Linked DNA regions of Neurospora crassa OR74A. The protein of the gene in region 2 interacts with the protein of the main gene of each other region in a pairwise test. Links are inferred from orthologs where the notes say so. Each region holds a gene or a part of one and is shown on either strand. Other genes may lie near its edges. The genes, in order: NCU02358 and NCU03357.

Region 1 (9,090 bases), on a different chromosome or scaffold from region 2:
TACAGGACACTTCAGAATATACCGTGCCCCTGGCTCGATAACCTTCCTCAACTGCGGTTCTGCCCTCCAACCGATATTTCCAAAAAGCCAGGCTTGGTGTGTTGATGAGGACTCGAGCAAATTCATTCTACAAATCCGGAGGCCCCAGTACTGGCGCATCGAGGTGCCTGTTGACGACCCGGAGGATGTACGACGCGCGCAGCTTCTGCGTGAGGTTTTCGACCAAATCCTACAATTCGAAAAGACTGAATGCCCTTTTCAGCGATCCTTTACCGTCGAGCTACCCGAACGTCCGCAGACGCCGGTTATCAAGAAACCGTGGACTCCTGCTAGGAGATCTAGTGAATCCATCATTCCCACCCCGGTCAGCGCGATCACGATACCCGCCCAGATTGCCCGTGTACACCGAGGTCCGCCTAAAGATGACACCATCAGAGTGCGCAAGAGAAGAGCGACTGGTACCACAAGCCAGTCAACCTTACCCACCAGCGATGATCTGTTTAGAATACAGGAGCATAACATCGTTTCGGTACCCGACATTACACTCTCAAGTCAGCCCGAGGAGGAACCACAGCAGCCAGAGTCGTTGTCTTCGCGGAATTTCACAAGGACCCCTCTCATACCAAGCGGCCAGCAAACTAGTCATTCTGTTGCCGCACCCCCGCAACTAACGTTGGTCACTGCATCGCACTCTACTGAGCCATCCATATATCAACTGGACGGCCATGCGCCAGAAATACCCGGATCACTGTCTTCGGTAACCTCCCGCGACTCTTTCTACAGTGTACGATCATGCAACTCTCATATTTTCCCCCCTTCCCCACCCTTGTCCAAGCCGACGTCTCCTTCAGGCTCTTCCTGTCCACCTGGAAAGAAGAACAAACCAGCGGAAGACTCATCCACCCTCACGTTAGATAGGGCAAATCGATCTAACATTTCCCAGACATCGGATACCAGCCCGGTAGCAATTGATCGAAGCGCCACCTCCAGCTCGACATTTCACGGCACAGCTCCCTCGTCTACCCATGACACCGATTCTCCATGTAGCCCAACAACAACAGGACTAATATTAGTTACTCCGTCGCCCAACGCATCACCGACTTCCCGTTCCCGATCTCCCTCCGTCAGCAGTCGTCGCTCTCTCATCCGCGGCCGCCCAACAACAAGCAGCAGCATATCCCCCAGTAGGAGAGCGCTTTCACCCCTACCACGTGCTGCGGATTTGTTTGCGCCTCGTCGAAGGGCGCCCTCTACCAGCAAGCTCGAAGTAGTGCGCAAGCTACCCATGACGGTCATCAATAAATCCTTCGAAATCTTGATGGCGCCTCCCACTCACTTGATGAGCCTCATGCTCACCGTTGCGGCGCGCATCACCGCTGGACAAAAGAGCGGCGCGGTCTTGGGATCCGGCGAGGGAGGCGAGAGGATACCCGTGCAGTGGGATCTTTCGGACGAAACGGAGGACACCAGCAGTTTCCCCCAACGGAAATCGTCAGCAGCGACAACGCTGTTTTCATCAGTGAGAAGGTGGAGTGTCTCTCATGTGAGTAATGATGACGACCACCTGCCCCCGCATATGCGCGGGCGGGAAAGGGGGATGAGCTTGAAGATGGCGGGGAGTTTCCCGGAATCGGATGAGGAGGGCGAGCACGACGATGGCGATGGCGGCAGCACTTCGGATTCCTCACATGGTTCTCATGAGCCCACAGCTCGACGAAACGGTGCTCTCAAAGCCGACGATGGGTCGAGGCTCGATGGTGCCGGGATTGGAGGACCAGAAGACGATCCCCAGTTCGATTGGAACCAGAGCATGGGAGTGGATTAAATGGTGTGCTTACGTGGAGGTTCGGCATCTTGCGATTGCTTTGAATAAGATGGAGCTATATCTAGCAACCAAACCCCCCTCAGCCCACACAATTGTGGAAAGGGTTGTTGTACCTGTACCAATACTGCTTTGTTCCTATAATTCGGTGTTTTAATGGAGAGGGAAAGGGAGGGGGGCGTTTTCAGGGAACCTGGGTATGCATGGGATAGATAGATACCCTGTTTCGATGTCCCTCTCAATAGGTGGTGGATATTAAGGCTCAGGCAGTTTAAAAGTGGGGAGAGGGGGATCAAAGGTTGAGGCCAAGACCACGGGAGAGGTAGAGAAGCAGTGTGTTTGGATACCCGGACGTAGGTGAAGCGAAAGGTATCACCGTCTAGGAGCAAAGAGGGAGCAGCCCTGCCATAAGCTCAGGTTAAATGGCGTGCTAGTCTGTGACATGTAAGTCATGGAAAACCATACTACTAGCTAGAAAGAAATCAGCGCGATAATGGCGCCATTGCATAGTCGAAAAGTATCGTATTTCGGTTTAGTTTGCAGCTTTGAAAGGCCGGCATCATATATGGAACCCCGTATAGAGAATGAACACAGCAACCATCCCAATCTTGCTAGCCACCCACAACGAATGCCTTACCAAGTAGATATAGGGAAGGCAGTAGAATGCATCCCCTTTTGCTTCAAGCCATAGCTGTTCCGTTTTATGCATATCGGGGCTGTCTTGATCGGACTCCACCCTCTTGCTACCTACAAAAGTAATTATCGAATCTACCTGAAGCTGTCCATGTGTTTAACTTTGATTTCTGCTTATACAGGACATCACCTTCGAAAATCAATGCTTCCTCTTCCATTATCTCTCCCAGTATCCAGCGTAGGTCGGACTGAACAGCTCGAGCTCCGTCTTCTCCTAGCCCTTTGCTCACTAGGATCCAACGGCCTCAGGCCACTTGTCTTTGCAAACAAGTTTAGGATGTCCGTCAACGACACCACGCCTGTCAAGCGCCCTGACAGTCCAGCACCCGGCAGCGCCGAAGCCGGAACCGAGGTGAATGGCCCCTGTGCTGGCGGCGACTGGGGCGTCGACGTTGTGATGGCACCTGGTGGAGGAACGACAACAGCTGCCGATCCAGGGGCAGGACTGCCCGCTCTGCCGGGCGAAGCAACCGGAGGTGATAACGTTGAAAGGGGAGGCAAGCTGGAAGCCTGCAGTAAAGGTGTAGCCGGGGCGCTAGGCGACGGCGAAGCGGACTCGACTACCCACATACGATGAGACTGCGTTGCGACCAGCTTGGCGACCGTGTGAGCTAGGGTAGAATACGGATTGACGTAGAAAACTGGGAAGGAGTCACGGCCATGCTCGACACCACGTTCGGAGAGAATGACGCTGACGAAGTGCATGCATGAAGCCTTGAGCAGGGGCAGACTGTTGGCGTTGGTTAGGAGGCGCACGTCAACGGTGGAAATATTTCCCACAACGTTGTGGCCGTTATCCACAACCGCGACAGATGTCAGCCCCTCGGAGCTCATAAGAAAGAGAGCATCGGCAAGAGGAGCGTCAGCGCTAGGAGATGTTAGCCAAGCGACTTCAGGGCACCGGGCGATTTAGGTACACAAAGCGGAGGTGGCTTACTTGATGGCGATGATTTGCTGCGTCCCGATTTGAAGATCACGCAGCGGGATCGTGTAAAGACGATCAATTAAGGGGAAATTGACGGCCTCGTACCAGAAGAACTCGAGTAGGCGCAACTGGCTCAAGATACCCACCACTTCTGAGTCCTTATTGGTGACCAGAACGCGGTGAATGCCGCCTCCAAACACTTCAATGGCTTTATCGAGAGTGGAATCGGCTGGGAGCTTCACCAGTTCCTCGTGGCGAAAGATGGGTTGGAGGGTACGTAACGGGATCTCTTCCTGAGACTGCGCTTTGACCGAAATATCTGTATATAGAGCGACCTGTTCTTCTTCGGGCTTTGCCAGGCCTACGACGGCCAAAAGGTAGGCATTGAGATCGCTGTGGTCAAAGGTAGAAACGGCTTCCTTCGAAGACGAGTTCTGGCGGACAAGGACCACATTGTTCGGACTACTTTGAAACAGGGTCTGGACAGTAAGTAACGATATCAGCAAGGTCCAAACCAACGACGAAGATTGGCACAGAGGCACTGTCGCACCTTGGTGGCCTCTTGGATACTAGTGTCCAGTTCCGCCCATTTGACTTCATCCGGCTGCAATAACTCGCCAATGGCAATGTCCCGCCAGTCACGGCCGACATAGCGAGGGTTTTGATGGCGGTTTGGCGGTGGGTGGCTCATCAGGTCTTGAATTGCTTGCTGTGTGAAGGAGGGGTGTCTCTGAGTACGTGGCGAGGGGGGCGGATGACGTTGGTTCTCAGCGAAGCTCTGGCGATGCGAATGTGACGAAACATTGCTCGTTGTTTTGGACAAGGGGTTGCCGCCTTGAGAGCTGGAGCGTTCTGGAGGAGACGGGAGCGAGGCGCCGGACAGCGCAGTGTCAGAGACCGGTAAGCCCGGGTTGGCGTTGGCCAATGTGCCAGGAGAGGGCGATTTTGTGATTTCTGATGAGGACTCCATCGAAGCTTCCGAGATGTGGTGATGGTGTTATTGTTGATGTTGTTGTTGCTGGATTTCTCGGGTAATAATGCACGCAACTTGAAGCACCCGCGGCGGACACGGCGATGATGCGGATAAGACCGAAGAAAGAAGAGAGCTTAGGGTAGTTCAGTTGGAGATGGTTCACGACAGATCGATGCGCGGAGAGAAGCTACTACTGGTACTGTATCTTTGCCGAAAGTTCAAGGTGACCGCTGCCGTCGTAGTCGGTTCCGCTGTTCGGAAGGTACAGGTATGCTTCGTATGTATGTAGATGTAGATAGCGTTTCACTTGAGCTTGTCTGCAATCTCGGGGTCGTTGCCGCCGCCGTCTTTGCGCAACCGAGTATGTGGTAGGTAATGGTGGAAGTGTATCTGAAATTCTGAAGTATCTGGCAGGAGAGTGTAGTAGAGGTAGTATGGCGGGAATCAAACACTCAGTGATAGGTAAAGTCGAGATCAAGACTACGAGAAAGATTCAGATCGGCTTGTTGCGACTGCCAACGAAACTGACGAAGCAAGAAAAGCATTGACCAGTCGAGAGCAACAGGAACCTATGGAAACGTCCGCCTGATTCTCAAGTCCAGAAACGGGAGAGCAATGACGATGGTCCAGCCGCGGCACGTACCTATCCTGAGCATACCTACCTTAACGTGATGGTGCGGGGTTGCCCCTGTCTAGCCTATGCGCGGGAAGCACTAGCCTCCCTCTCGTCACTGACTGTCAGGCTACTCTCACACTAAGGCGTGCGGATAGTCTGTACACAGGTAGTGTCCGGCGATAAGGTCACCTGCAGGGCAGGACAGGGCTGAGGCTGTCACCTGTTGACCGTTGCTGCGCTGCACCCAGAGGCGATCAGGTAGGCAAGTAGAGGTAGGCTGAGGTGCGAACTGAAGGCAGCCTGGCGCAATTAGGTTTTTGTCGATGAAAGTCCATCCATATCCAGTGGGGGAGGGAACTCCATGGGGTTAGACCTAGATCAGGCCTATCCACCATTTTCTGTCACCTACATTTCATCTGGGCCTTCACCTCCGAGTCCTGCTTCCCTTCCATGTTGTTGATCATGATCATCACAGACGCCCTACCCACCCGGCAGTGGAAGCCTGGGCACACAAGTTGTGGAAGCTGGGGCCGCCCTGGAGCTTTCCATAGGTTGGAGGAAGGAACGGCCAGAACCGGTGGCCATCTCAAGATGCCACTGCCCCACTCCGTAGTTTTAGCGGACCTCTGCCGCTTGATAGTTATTTACTAGGTGATCACATAGCAAACGGTGCTGTGCTCTAACGGGATGTTAGCGACGCGGCGGGGGGAACCTGGGCGCTTATGGGGTAGGTACCTACCTCTACCTACCTAGGTAACGGGAGGTAGAGGTAGAATGTCTGCCTGCCCTATGCTACCTTTAGGTATGCCGAGAGGCACCTACTTTTGTACGCTACAGTGCCGTGTGCCCCTCGGCCCCCTCCATTCATGAGCTCGGGTTGACCCAGACCCAATCAAAAAAAAATATTGTCCATTCGGTTTTCATACGGTCCATGCCCCCCCCCCTCCCACTCCCCTCGACCCTTTCGAGCCAGTCTAGAGCCATCAAATCACCAATTCTCGACAATCCAAATCCACCTTTGACTGGAGCAAAGTCGAGTTTCGGACGCGTCCTTTATCGCGACTTGAATTCATTCAAGTCTCGGTATCACTAACGGTCACCGTCGACGCCTGTCGTCAATCCATCATCAACTTGGCACTCGAGTTGCTTCTCCATCCGCACCGTTGCCGTGTCCACCTCAAGTCCGTCCTCCCTGGCCCGCCTTTTTCCCAGTCCTCATCCGTATCAGACTTTAGCGAGAGTTCTGATGTTGTTGTTGGGCCAACATCGTTAACCACGTTCCGCCTCTTCCAGAGCCCACCAACCGACGATAACCCAGGGTCACACATTGTGTGTAAGGAGTGCAGTGTGCTTTGCGATTCACTCTTCTGCTCCCCGACCCCACGGCACCAACTAGACACAACTAGCACTCTACTTCGCAACATACATCATTCATCATGTCGGTCCTTCCCGCCGATGTTACGGCCGAGCTGAGCCAGCTGCTCCAGGCTCTTCAGTCGGCCGACAACAACATTCGCTCTCAGGCTGAGGAGCACTTGCAAAACAACTGGACCAGCTCCCGGCCTGGCCTCCTCTTGATGGGCTTGGCTGAGCAGATTGCTGGATCAAGCGACGCTTCGGTATGGCTTCTTCGCAACCCTCTTTTGCTGGGCCGGTCGCCTCAGCGTGTCACTGCTCACATATAACTCACTCGTTTTTGAACCTTGCAGGTCCGTTCTTTCGCCGCCGTCATTTTCCGCCGGATAACACTCAAAACTCGCAAAGCCACGCCGACCTCCGAGGCTGCTACCGATATGTTTCTTTCCCTTGACAACCACGAGGCCGTCGCTGTCCGCAACAAGATTCTCGAGGCCATCCTTGCCGAGACAGACAGAAACGTTCGCAACAAGATTGGTGATGCGGTTGCCGAGGTTGCTAGGCAATATTATGACAATGACCAAAATTGGCCAGAACTACTTCAGACTCTCTTCAACCTCAGCCAAGCACCCGATGCTGGCAAGCGCGAGACGGCCTTCCGCATTTTCCACGCTACCCCTAGCATCATTGAGAAACAACATCAGGATGCCGTAGCCATGGCATTTGCCAAAGCATTCACGGACGAGTCGGTTGCCGTCAGGCTTGCTGCTATGGAGGCTTTTGCGGCCTTTTTCCGCAGCCTGGGAAAGAAGAACCAGGCCAAGTACTTCGAGCTCCTTCCTCAGCTCCTCAACATCCTTCCTCCTATCAAGGACTCGCAAGATTCGGACGACCTTAGCCAGGCCCTCATCGCTCTCATCGACTTGGCCGAAAGTTCCCCCAAGATGTTCAAGACCGTCTTCTCGACTCTTGTTGGATTCAGCATTTCGGTCATTCAAGACAAGGAGCTCACAGACCTCTGCCGACAAAATGCGCTGGAACTTATGGCCACCTTTGCCGATTACGCTCCGTCCATGTGCAAGAAGGATGCTTCTTATACCAAGGATATGATCACACAGTGCCTTAGCTTGATGACGGATCTTGGTGAGGATGACGATGATGCGGCCGAATGGCTTAGCTGCGACGATGTAAGTTGTTGGGTCACTTGTAACTTCTGTGGGGCCCATACATTGGCTCTGTGCTAATGGCGTTTATGCAGCTCGACACCGACGAGAGTGACTCCAACCATGTCGCAGGTGAGCAGTGTCTCGATCGTCTGGCTAATAAGCTCGGAGGTGCCGCTATTCTCAGTCCCATCTTCGGCTGGTTGCCTAGCATGATGAACTCCCCGGCTTGGAGAGACCGTCACGCTGCTTTGATGGCTCTGTCCGCCATTTCAGAAGGCTGCCGCGAGGAGATGATTGGTGAACTGAGGCAGGTCCTTGACTTGGTTGTCCCGGCGTTAAAGGACCCCCATCCTCGTGTCCGTTGGGCTGGCTGCAATGCCCTCGGCCAGATGAGCACCGACTTTGCTCCTACTATGCAGAAGCAGTACTACGATATTGTGCTGTCGGCCATTGTGCCCGTCCTTAACGCACCCGAGGCACGGGTCAAGTCACATGCTGCTGCGGCGCTTGTGAACTTTTGTGAGGAGGCTGACAAGAGTGTCCTTGAGCCTTATCTCGACAACCTTTTGTCGCACTTGTTCCAGCTTCTTCAGAATGAAAAGCGTTACGTCCAAGAGCAGGCTTTGTCTACCATCGCCACCATCGCTGACGCCGCAGAGCAGGCATTTGCCAAGTACTATGATACTCTCATGCCCCTGTTGATGGGAGTGTTGCAGCGCGAGAATGAGAAGGAGGTCCGCCTCCTCCGTGCAAAGGCGATGGAGTGCGCCACCCTGATCGCCCTTGCGGTTGGAAAGGAGCGTCTCGGTGCGGATGCCATGGCGCTAGTGCAACTTTTGGCCAGCATCCAGCAAAACATCACTGATCCCGACGATCCTCAGGCCCAGTACCTCATGCACTGCTGGGGAAGAATGTGCCGTGTGTTGGGTAGGGATTTCCTTCCCTACTTGCCCGAGGTTATGCCGCCACTCCTCGAGCTTGCTAGCGCCAAGGCCGATATCCAGCTTCTGGAAGACGACGAGCAGATTGAGCAGCTACAGACCGAGGAAGGGTGGGAGCTTGTCCCGCTCCGTGGCAAGACTATTGGTATCCGTACCAGCACCATGGACGATAAGAACATGGCCATCGAGCTGCTCGTGGTGTACGCTCAGGTCCTTGAGGGTGACTTTGCGCCTTATGTCGCAGACATCATGGAGAAGATTGCTCTTCCTGGTCTGGCCTTCTTCTTCCACGATCCTGTCAGGTACATGTCTGCGAAGCTAGTTCCGCAATTGCTCATTTCATACAAGAAGCAGTACGGTCCCGGCTCCAACGAGCTCAAGGGCTTGTGGACCAGCACCGTCGTTCAGCTCCTCGACGTTCTTAGCGCCGAGCCTGCCATTGATACGCTCGCGGAGATGTATCAATGCTTCTATGAGTCCATCGAGGTCATCGGCACTGCCTGCCTCGATGAGACGCACATGGGCCGCTTCATCGACGGTGTCCACTCCACTCTTGAGGATTACAAGGATCGGGCAGCCGCTCGTGAGGAGGAGCAAG
Region 2 (8,983 bases):
TGAGAAGAAGAAGGAGGAACAACCCAAGAGGGTAAGTGCTCCTTCATCCTCATCCAAGAGCGCCGGAGACGCTGCGGCTGGTGAAGGAAAGAATACTGAAAAGAAGGACGGTGAACAGAAGGAAGATACTGCTGCTGCAGAAGAGAAGAAGATCGAGGAGAAGGTCACAGGGGAAGAGAAGAAACAGGAGGAAAAAGAAAAGATAGAGGTAGTTGGGGAGTCGAAGCCGACGGCGGCTGCCACTGAAGAGGTTGAGGAAGACCTGTCTGAAGATGAGGAAGAAGAAGAGGAGGAGCCCAAGATCGAATATGAGGAGGGCAAGATTCCCTGGAACGCCGTCTGCGTCGTTGGGCTGAGGGTGTATGCTCAGGATGCCGATGTCACGGTAACGCTGGCGACCCCGAACACTGCGGAGGAGGGCGCTAGTCTTGTTATGGATCAGCACGCTGTTGGGGCTACCATTTGAGGGCGTGGATTGTGAGCCAGGTGAACTTTATGAGAACAGGTTGGAGACTCTGAAGGATACAAAATACCTACCTAGGCTGTAGTCATGATGTAAGGCAGAAAATGATCTCTTCTCCCGGGGTTACTTGGTTCGAATGTGAATGACTGGAAAGCTTTACTGGGCTCCCATAGACGGACTCGGCATGTGATGACAACTGTCATACCTGTGTCCTGCTTTAGGCCCAAAGATTTTCAGTGTTTCGATGCCTCCAGCAGTGCGTTCGAAGCCCTTGGATATGGCGATGGCCTCGGGATAACCCCCAGTCTTCATCATTCTCATATTTCTTCTTCCCTTTTCATGTACCTCCTCAGTTCTTTGTCCTTGTACTAATGAGGTAGCGACAGTGCTGCTAAGGGGTCCAGAGAGCACGAATAGAGAGGGTCAATTCAAGGGGTTGTGCAAGGGAGCCCCAGGCTCTTATTTCCATGATTTGGATGTCAGGAACCTAGGTACGTTTTGTGACCTATCTCACTAACACTCCAACTAGCTAGTGGATAGCTGTCATGTTAGTAACCACATGATTGATCCCCTAGAGTAACCAATTCATGTTGACGTCAAACTAGAGGAGTTACAGTTGAGAAGGGGCTGCGGGGTGGTGTGTTGGCTATCAAGGTTCCCGTTCCCTGAAGAGCACCGCTAGCGCAGGGGCACGATAGTAGCATTATCTCTCCTAGGACCTTCTTAAGATATGGTATACATCACGAAACAAGGATTAAGAGGCTATTCTGAGCAATTTTGTTATGGGAAACAGCCGATCCTTCATCCTCTTTGGTCTCAATGATCTTGAACCCGTGAATAACTGCAAATCAGCCCATCATATCCAAGGTGTTGGCTTCGAACAACAGTCTCTTTGTTGGGCTTCGGGTACCCGGACTAACATGCACTGATAAACGCATCTGACCTCGGCTGACGTCGGGCTGGTCCCAGCATCCAGTCAGTGCCTGGAGGTCCCCTAAAATAGCGCCTTATCGGTTATCGCCTGGGGCTTGTTCCTTCCCGTCGGTTGCGTCGCTCGCCCCCTCCGCCGTCTTCGGCTTTCGACTTCATCTTCTTCTCGCCATCGTCAACCACCAGCGCATCTCCGAGACTACTCTGTGCCGCCGTGCAAGACAATTCGGCGGTCACCTGCAGCGGCTGACCTGAACCATGGATAGGCACCGAGACTAGTCACAATCAAGCCTGTGTCTGTTCCTTTTCTCCAGATCCGCTGAGCCCCTCTCTCCATCACCGCATCAATATGATTCTTGGAAAGTGGTGACCGCCTCGAACGAAGACACCTGCCCACTACACCACACCAACAGCAGTTAAATACAGTCTCTATATATCTTCAATTTCCAATTGCTTCCAACTCCCTCGAACAATCCGCGCCGTGATACCCATCTCTTGTCCGATCTTCAACAATCAACAAACCATCAAGTGGAACAGCAGGCCTCGGGCGAATGGAAGACAACAATATCAACCCCTCTACACCATAATCAAGAAACCCCAATCTGCCAATGTCATTCGAAATGCCGCCACCGAATACACCCGAAGAAGGAGTAGCAGCCCCTACGCTCTCCTCGCGAGCTGACGCACGCCGGATTTTCGGCTCCGGGGTCCCCTCTACTATCTACGGTTCTCCTGCCTCGTCCCCGGGCGGCTCCAGACGCAGCTCAGTTGCCGATTACGGCCCGTATCAAGTCCCTTCACGGGGTCATACGCACCATCAGTCTCAATCTGGAATCGACTACCAGGCGCTCGACTATGCCCAACAGATCGACGAGGCTTTGTTATGTCCCATCTGCCACACGCCCTTCTTCATGCCCATGACGACCAAGACGTGTGGTCACACCTTTTGCGCCTCGTGCCTCGACCGCGCTCTCGAGACCCAGCACGTATGCCCTATTGACCGCCGACCCCTCGACATCAGCCGAGACATTAGCCAGACCCGAACCCGCGTAATACTCGACCAGCTCGACCGTCTCAAAGTCAAGTGTCCAAATAGCGGCTGCGATCATGTTTGCTCGCGGGAGCTTCTATACGCACACGTCGAACGTTATTGCGGACAAACCCTTGTTCGCTGCCCCGACCATCATTGCGACGAGATGATCTGCCGGAAAGACGCGCGCCCCGAGAACGGGTGTCTCCATTACGTTACGCCCTGTCCCTACTGCGAGATGGCCATTACTTTCAACGACCTCGAGAGGCACTACGACCAAGAGTGTACGGGACAAGAAGCCGAGTGCCCGCACTGCGACGCTGTCCTCGTCCGCCACCGTCTGGCCAAGCACATTGCGACTGACTGCCGCGAGGTCGAAACACACTGCCAGTTCCGGAGCGCTGGGTGCAAACAGGTTGCGCGGAGGAAAGATATCGAGGAGCATCTCAAGAACGGGTGCATCTATGAGGCGATTGCGAATCTCATGCAGGCGCGGGAGGAAGACCACAAGATTATCAATGAGTTGAAGGGACGACTAGACGCTCTAGACGGACGAACACGACATCTGGAAAGATATGGTGGTGGTAGTGGTGGTGGTGGTGGTGCTGGCAGCAGTGGGGTACGGGAGTCATCTGCATTCACCAGAGCAGCGCCGCCATCGTCAGGCCTAACCGCTGATGCCCTCAACAACTTGAACCGTATGCAGTCGGCCACGTCAGGCTACGCAGACATCGACGAGGCCAATCACAACATCACGCTGGATGACCTCTTTGAAACTTTCGACCAAGAAAACAACCACCACAATGACAGCAACTACAGTAGCCCACAAGCGGCGGCGGCAGCGATGGCGGCGGATGCACCCCCGGCCCCGTGGGCACACAACAGTGGCGACGGGCCGTGGGAGTCACCAGAGGATTACATGCTTTCCCAGTTTGAGGCCATGGAGGCCAAGATTGAAGACTTGCGCAAGATGATGGTGGAGCTTGACGGGAGACACACAATGAGGCTGGTCAATGATACGATGAGGATGAATGAACAAATCGCCGAGCTTGGGAGTAAAGTGGGAGTATTAGGAATGCATACTACGTGGTTGATGAGCATGCAAAGGCAAAGTCGCGGACAGCAAAATGGCTCTGGGTCAACGCCCGGGACTACGAGATCAAATATTTCTGCTAGTGGTGGTGGCAGTGGTGGCGGCAGTGGCGGTACTGGTGGTAATAACGAGGAGGGGAGAGGCAGGACGAATGCGGCGGCGGCTGGTGCTTCCAACTCGTCAAGGACGGCTACACAGACACAGCAGAGTAGCAGAAATGGTGATGGAGAGAGTGCGAGAGGGAGGTATCTCAATACCAGTGATATCCCGCCGTTGAGGAGGAGTAGCGTGGGGAGGGGTGAGAATCCACCTCGACTTTGATGGATGTTTGGGTTCGCCTTCCTGGGGCAGACACTGGGGTCATATATTTCTGCTGCTGTGCCTCAGTGTCTGAGCCGTCCCGAACGGAAGTAACAGTGTCTGTTGGTTTTGGAAACATACCATAATGGTCTGAAGGAGAAGAACGGGTATGCATAGGTTTTGTATGTTGGCGTTTGGGATGGATCGGGAAAGCACTTGGAGGTTGTCTTATTGCAACGTCGGGCCTTGGTCTAAAGCTTAGATAGCCTATAGACCAAAGAATATAGGAGACGAATCAAACCTCTGTGTTGGAATTTGGCACGCTTGAAAGAGCTAATAGCAACTGAAAGAACGGCTACATGGTCTAGGTCTGTTTCCCATGGTGTTTTGGACAAGACGGCTTTCAAAGTATCTAGAATGCTTTGACTTTGTTGGCTCCCCGTAATCTTCTTACCTATTCATGTAGATGAGTTGAACAATGACAGCTGCATTCCGCATTTACGGCGAAGGAAAGTCACTGTCACATCCAGCGTTATACTAGTGATTCTAGGGTCCTTCCATGAAAAACGCCAACGAAGAATTAGTTATCATCTTCTTGTCATTCAGCCCGTTTCTGCTTCATTAGGTTGCGAGGTTACCTCTACATAGAAGTACCCCTTATGGTAGACTACATATGTAGTACAATGGTGCTGGTTTGTTTGTTAGCTTGGTACCTAGAGGTACTCCTGGTACACTGGACGAGATCTCCCGTCTTCCGAATTGTCCCAAACCGTACAAGGACTGAATGAAAGGCATGAACAAGATCCAATTCGTTCTCTTTCATTTTGGAGAAATGGAAGCATATTCCCAGTCTGAAAACGCATAGTCTAAGAGGTAGCTATAGGGACGGGAAGTTGATCCAAAGACCCGCGGGAGCTAACAATCGAACCAGTATTGCCTACAGTGCAGTAAATCATGTCCCGCCAAAAGCACTAAATGTAAGTAACGTCCCGAAATACCCCGCCAACCTGTGAACTCCAGGAGCTCCATGCAGTAGGCTTGTTCGGGGCAGGCAGGCTCCACGTCACATTCACAGATGTCAACGTAATCTTGTCAGCGCAAAAGGTGCATGGGAATTGCTACTTCCTCCTGATCACTATCCGAGGGCTTTCCGCTAGAGTATGCTAGAGTCATTCCTTATTACTACCTAACTTTGGCACCCGCACTATCACATACTACTGTGGTTAGCTCAAGAGCGAAGTACCAACCTTGAGCACCCGCAGCCGAAGACAACCTCCAGCTTCGGACAGTCACCTCCATCCTCCTTCTCCTCATCCTTCGCCTCAACCTCCCAACGCACATCCAGCTTTACGTCGTCACCGCCAGCTTGAGCCCTTCTTCTCCTTAGGCTCTCTCCGTCACGATAATCACAATATCCGTACATCCTTAATCCCTTTCCTCTTCGCCCAACGACGACGACAAGATGGATCCGAATCAGCAACAGCCGGCGGCCACGCCGGATGCGCCTGATAAAGAGACGATGGAGCAGATCCGTGCCCGACGACTGGCTAAGCTCGGTGGCCCCAATGTCGCTTCTACTACATCGCCAGCTGCGTCCTCTTCCACGCCTCAGCCTGGCACCGAAACCCCTCCCGCTGCTGCTGCTGTGGCGGCGGCGGCGGCGGCGGCGAGTTCGTCAAAGATCGAAGACAAGGCACCGCGAGTTCAGCCAAGGTCGATAATCAAGCCGGCGTCACGAGATGTGCCAGAGCCACCACCAGGTAGTTCCGCTTCCCGAAAGAGAGAAAGATCCCTTTCAAATATTGATGATATTCCATGCCCACCAGCACCGCGAAAGCAATACAGGGAACAGACGCTCGAGGAATGGACCGACAAGCTACTCACCAGCATCCTTCGCGTGTCTCTCGATCCGAACCAGACCTTCGATAGCAGTGGCCATAACTTGACCTTTCTGCCAGAACTCAGCCAGGAAATTCGGGGCGAGTATCAGGAGCCCTTGCTGTCGATCGACCGATTTCAAGAGGCCGTTATGGAGGCCGGAAGGATCTATCCGCCGCACAAGCCCCTATTCGAATACTTCCTGGCATGCTGGAAGCGGGTCACCAGATATAGGATATTGAGGGCGTCGACTCCTGAGAAGGAAGAAGCCCTCAAGGAGGCCAAGCGCTTGTGCTTCTCGAACTGCATCTTCGCCGTTACTATGCCCGAGATGTTTGGGTATTTATCCCCCGTGTCCTCTTTACAGTTTGCTCTAGCTGACATGATCCAAATTTGAAAAGTCGAGAACCAAACCCAAAGCACGATACCATAGTCCCCTACATTTTGGAAGGTGTTGCGAAGGAAGAAGGCCTCGACATCGAGTTTTACAACGAGGCCATGACACGGATCGAGGACGACGATAGCATTGTACCTCTCTTCACCAAGGCCATGGTGGAAATCAGCACAGCGCTGTCTACCAAAAACATGAACGGCGATTATCAGCCGCACGTCCAGGTGAGTTTGACAAGCGACTTGAACGAATTGTGCTGAGCGTTGACGTTGGAACCTCACAGGCCCTCTTCACATACTCGAGATATCCGGCTCTCGTGAACGCTTTGGCGGAACACCCTACTTTCCTTATGGCGCAATCAGCCCCCAACATTGAACGGTTCACGCTGCTCGGGCCATTCTTCCGCCTGTCGCCCTTACACCCAGAGGCGGCCAGTTACGACTTTGCCGCACCAAGGACTCTTGACAAGGGCCGAATTGGCACAACCCAACAATCGTTACAAATGACGTTGGCTGCCCATCAGGAACACTTGACGACGATAGCTAATGCCTTCATACGAGCAAGCACTAGCTCGAGAAACAAGCTCCTGGACTGGTTCGCCTACATCATGAATGTCAACCATAAGCGCACAGCCACTTATGTCGACCCCAAGACCGTTTCGTCGGACGGCTTCATGGTCAATGTCACTGTCGTCCTCGACAATCTATGCAAGCCTTTCATGGATAACTCCTTTACCAAGATTGACCGTATTCAGGTCGACTACTTCAGGCGGAAGCCCAGATTGGACATCAAGGAAGAGACCAAGCTCAACGCTGACCAAGAGCACTCGGACGCGTTTTACTCTACAAAACTCGAAGGGGAGAACAACTTTATAACAGAGGTCTTCTTCCTCGCTTTGGCGGCACATCAGTATGGCACCGAAGCCACCCAAAACAAGCTAAAGGAACTTGACAAGCAAATTAAGCATTTCCAAAAGAACTTGACCCTTATGGAGGCTGACCGTCCCAACATTGTCGCCAATCATCCGGAACGAGTACCTATGCTAGAGGCGGCGCAGAGGAGACTGATCAAGATGCTGGAGAGCGCCATGTCGGCCAAATTTGCCATCGAAGGCATTATGACCGACAAGACGCTGCAAACGCGGTCACTACAGTTCATGAAGTACACGATTGTGTGGCTACTGCGAGTAGCCAGTCAGTCCGACTACGTCCCATGGAAGAAAATCAGCCTTCCGCTGCCTGAAACTCAGCCAGAAGCTTTCAGGTGTCTTCCCGAGTATGTTCTGCAGGTAATTGTTGATAACTTGAAGTTCACCTTCCGCCATAGGCCAGAGGTCATGGTCTCGGCCATTGGTGACGAGGTCGTTGCTCTATGCATAACGTTTCTGGAATCCTCCGAGTACATCAAGAACCCGTACTTGAAATCGTCGCTGGTTACCCTCCTTTATCAGGGCACCTGGCCGGCATACCATCTTAAAAAGGGCATTCTTGGCGACATCCTTACCGGCACCAAGTTCGCGAATGACTACCTGCTACATGCTGTGATGAAGTACTATATTGAGTGCGAGTCGAATGGTACCAGTTCCGCGTTCTACGAAAAGTTCAACATACGTTTTGAGATCTTCCAGGTTATCAAGTGCGTCTGGACCAATGACCATTACAAGAAGCAGTTGACAGAGTCCAGCAGGTCAGTATATGTTTTGTCCTACGATCTCTTTGCTGAATCCGACTAACTCGACCTAGGGTGGACCGCGACTTCTTCGTTCGTTTTGTCAATCTTCTCATGAACGATGCAACATACGTTCTGGATGAAGCATTGAGCAACTTCCCCAAGATCCATGACTTCCAGCAAAAGCTAAAGGACCCCAGTCTTTCGCAAGAGGATCGCGAAAAGATGGAGAGCGATTTACACGACGCGGAAAACAAGGCCAGTTCCTATATGCAGCTTGCGAACGAGACAGTCGGCATGATGAAGCTCTTCACCCAAACCCTGGCTGAGTCCTTCACCATGCCAGAAATCGTTCACCGCCTGGCCGGTATGCTCGATTTCAACCTTGACCTCCTCACCGGTCCTAAGAGCCGGACGTTGAAGGTTGAGAACCCCGACAAGTATGGCTTCAACCCCAAGATTCTGCTACCGCAGCTCGTGGACATCTACCTGAACTTGGGTTCCTCGCCTGCCTTTGTCGAGGCCGTTGCTGCAGACGGCAGATCCTACAAGCCTGAGACCATGGCGTCTGCCACCAACATTCTTCGCTCAAAGGCACTCAAGAATCCTACCGAGATGCACGCGTGGGAGGTGTTGTGCAAATGCTTCGAAGAGGCCAAGGCCATCGTCGACCAGGCTGATCTCGACTTTGGCGACGCACCGCCCGAGTTCGAAGACCCCATCATGGGCGACTTGATGAAGGACCCGGTGATTCTACCCAGCAAGCACGTTGTCGATCGGTCGACTATCGTGCAGCACTTGCTCAGTGACCCGAAAGACCCGTTCACGAGACAGCCCATGACTATTGATGATGTCATTCCGGATACGGAACTGAAGGCTAAGATTGAGAAGTGGATGGAGGACAGGAGGGCAGAGATTCGCGGCAAGGTCGAGGAAGTGACGCCTGCTGTTGGTGATATTGCCGGAGCGGAGGCGGCGACGGGCGGAGATGCTATGGACACTACCGAGTAAGAGGTCGGGGTGGATGTTGTGGTTACATGCCTACATAGACATACATTCTTGGTTTGGTAGGTATAACATGAAGCATCAGCGTAAATAAGAGATAGGAGGAATATAAGAAGCGTAAAGAAAATCGCTATGGATCTTGGCTCGTCCCTGACAAATCTGTTGAGACCCAGTTAGTCTGCACAATTGTGGTTTGTACATTATGCCTCAGGTGTACTTTCATAA

Evidence for each region.
Region 1: the proteins of NCU03357 (region 2) and NCU02358 interact in a two-hybrid assay, tested with the Schizosaccharomyces pombe proteins (2 studies listed by BioGRID). The link is inferred for Neurospora crassa OR74A from reciprocal best matches to the Schizosaccharomyces pombe genes ufd2 and sds23.

What each region holds. Positions count from the first base shown.
Region 1 is NC_026507.1:2,753,305-2,762,394, forward strand, and holds NCU02358 (SDS23), read right to left. Parts: upstream 5,011-9,090; 5' UTR 4,411-5,010; coding exon 3,991-4,410; intron 3,920-3,990; coding exon 3,453-3,919; intron 3,384-3,452; coding exon 2,642-3,383; 3' UTR 2,225-2,641; downstream 1-2,224. Other genes in the region: NCU02359 (hypothetical protein), read left to right, coding at 6-784, 944-1,825; NCU02357 (importin subunit beta-3), read left to right, coding at 6,466-6,648, 6,739-7,572, 7,644-9,090.
Region 2 is NC_026502.1:987,060-996,042, reverse strand, and holds NCU03357 (ubiquitin conjugation factor E4), read left to right. Parts: upstream 1-5,278; coding exon 5,279-6,033; intron 6,034-6,095; coding exon 6,096-6,309; intron 6,310-6,368; coding exon 6,369-7,771; intron 7,772-7,827; coding exon 7,828-8,764; 3' UTR 8,765-8,894; downstream 8,895-8,983. Other genes in the region: NCU03355 (calpain-5), read left to right, coding at 1-31, 119-466; NCU03356 (hypothetical protein), read left to right, coding at 2,002-3,837. UniProt on the Schizosaccharomyces pombe protein: E4 ubiquitin chain-elongation enzyme specifically involved in polyubiquitin chain assembly.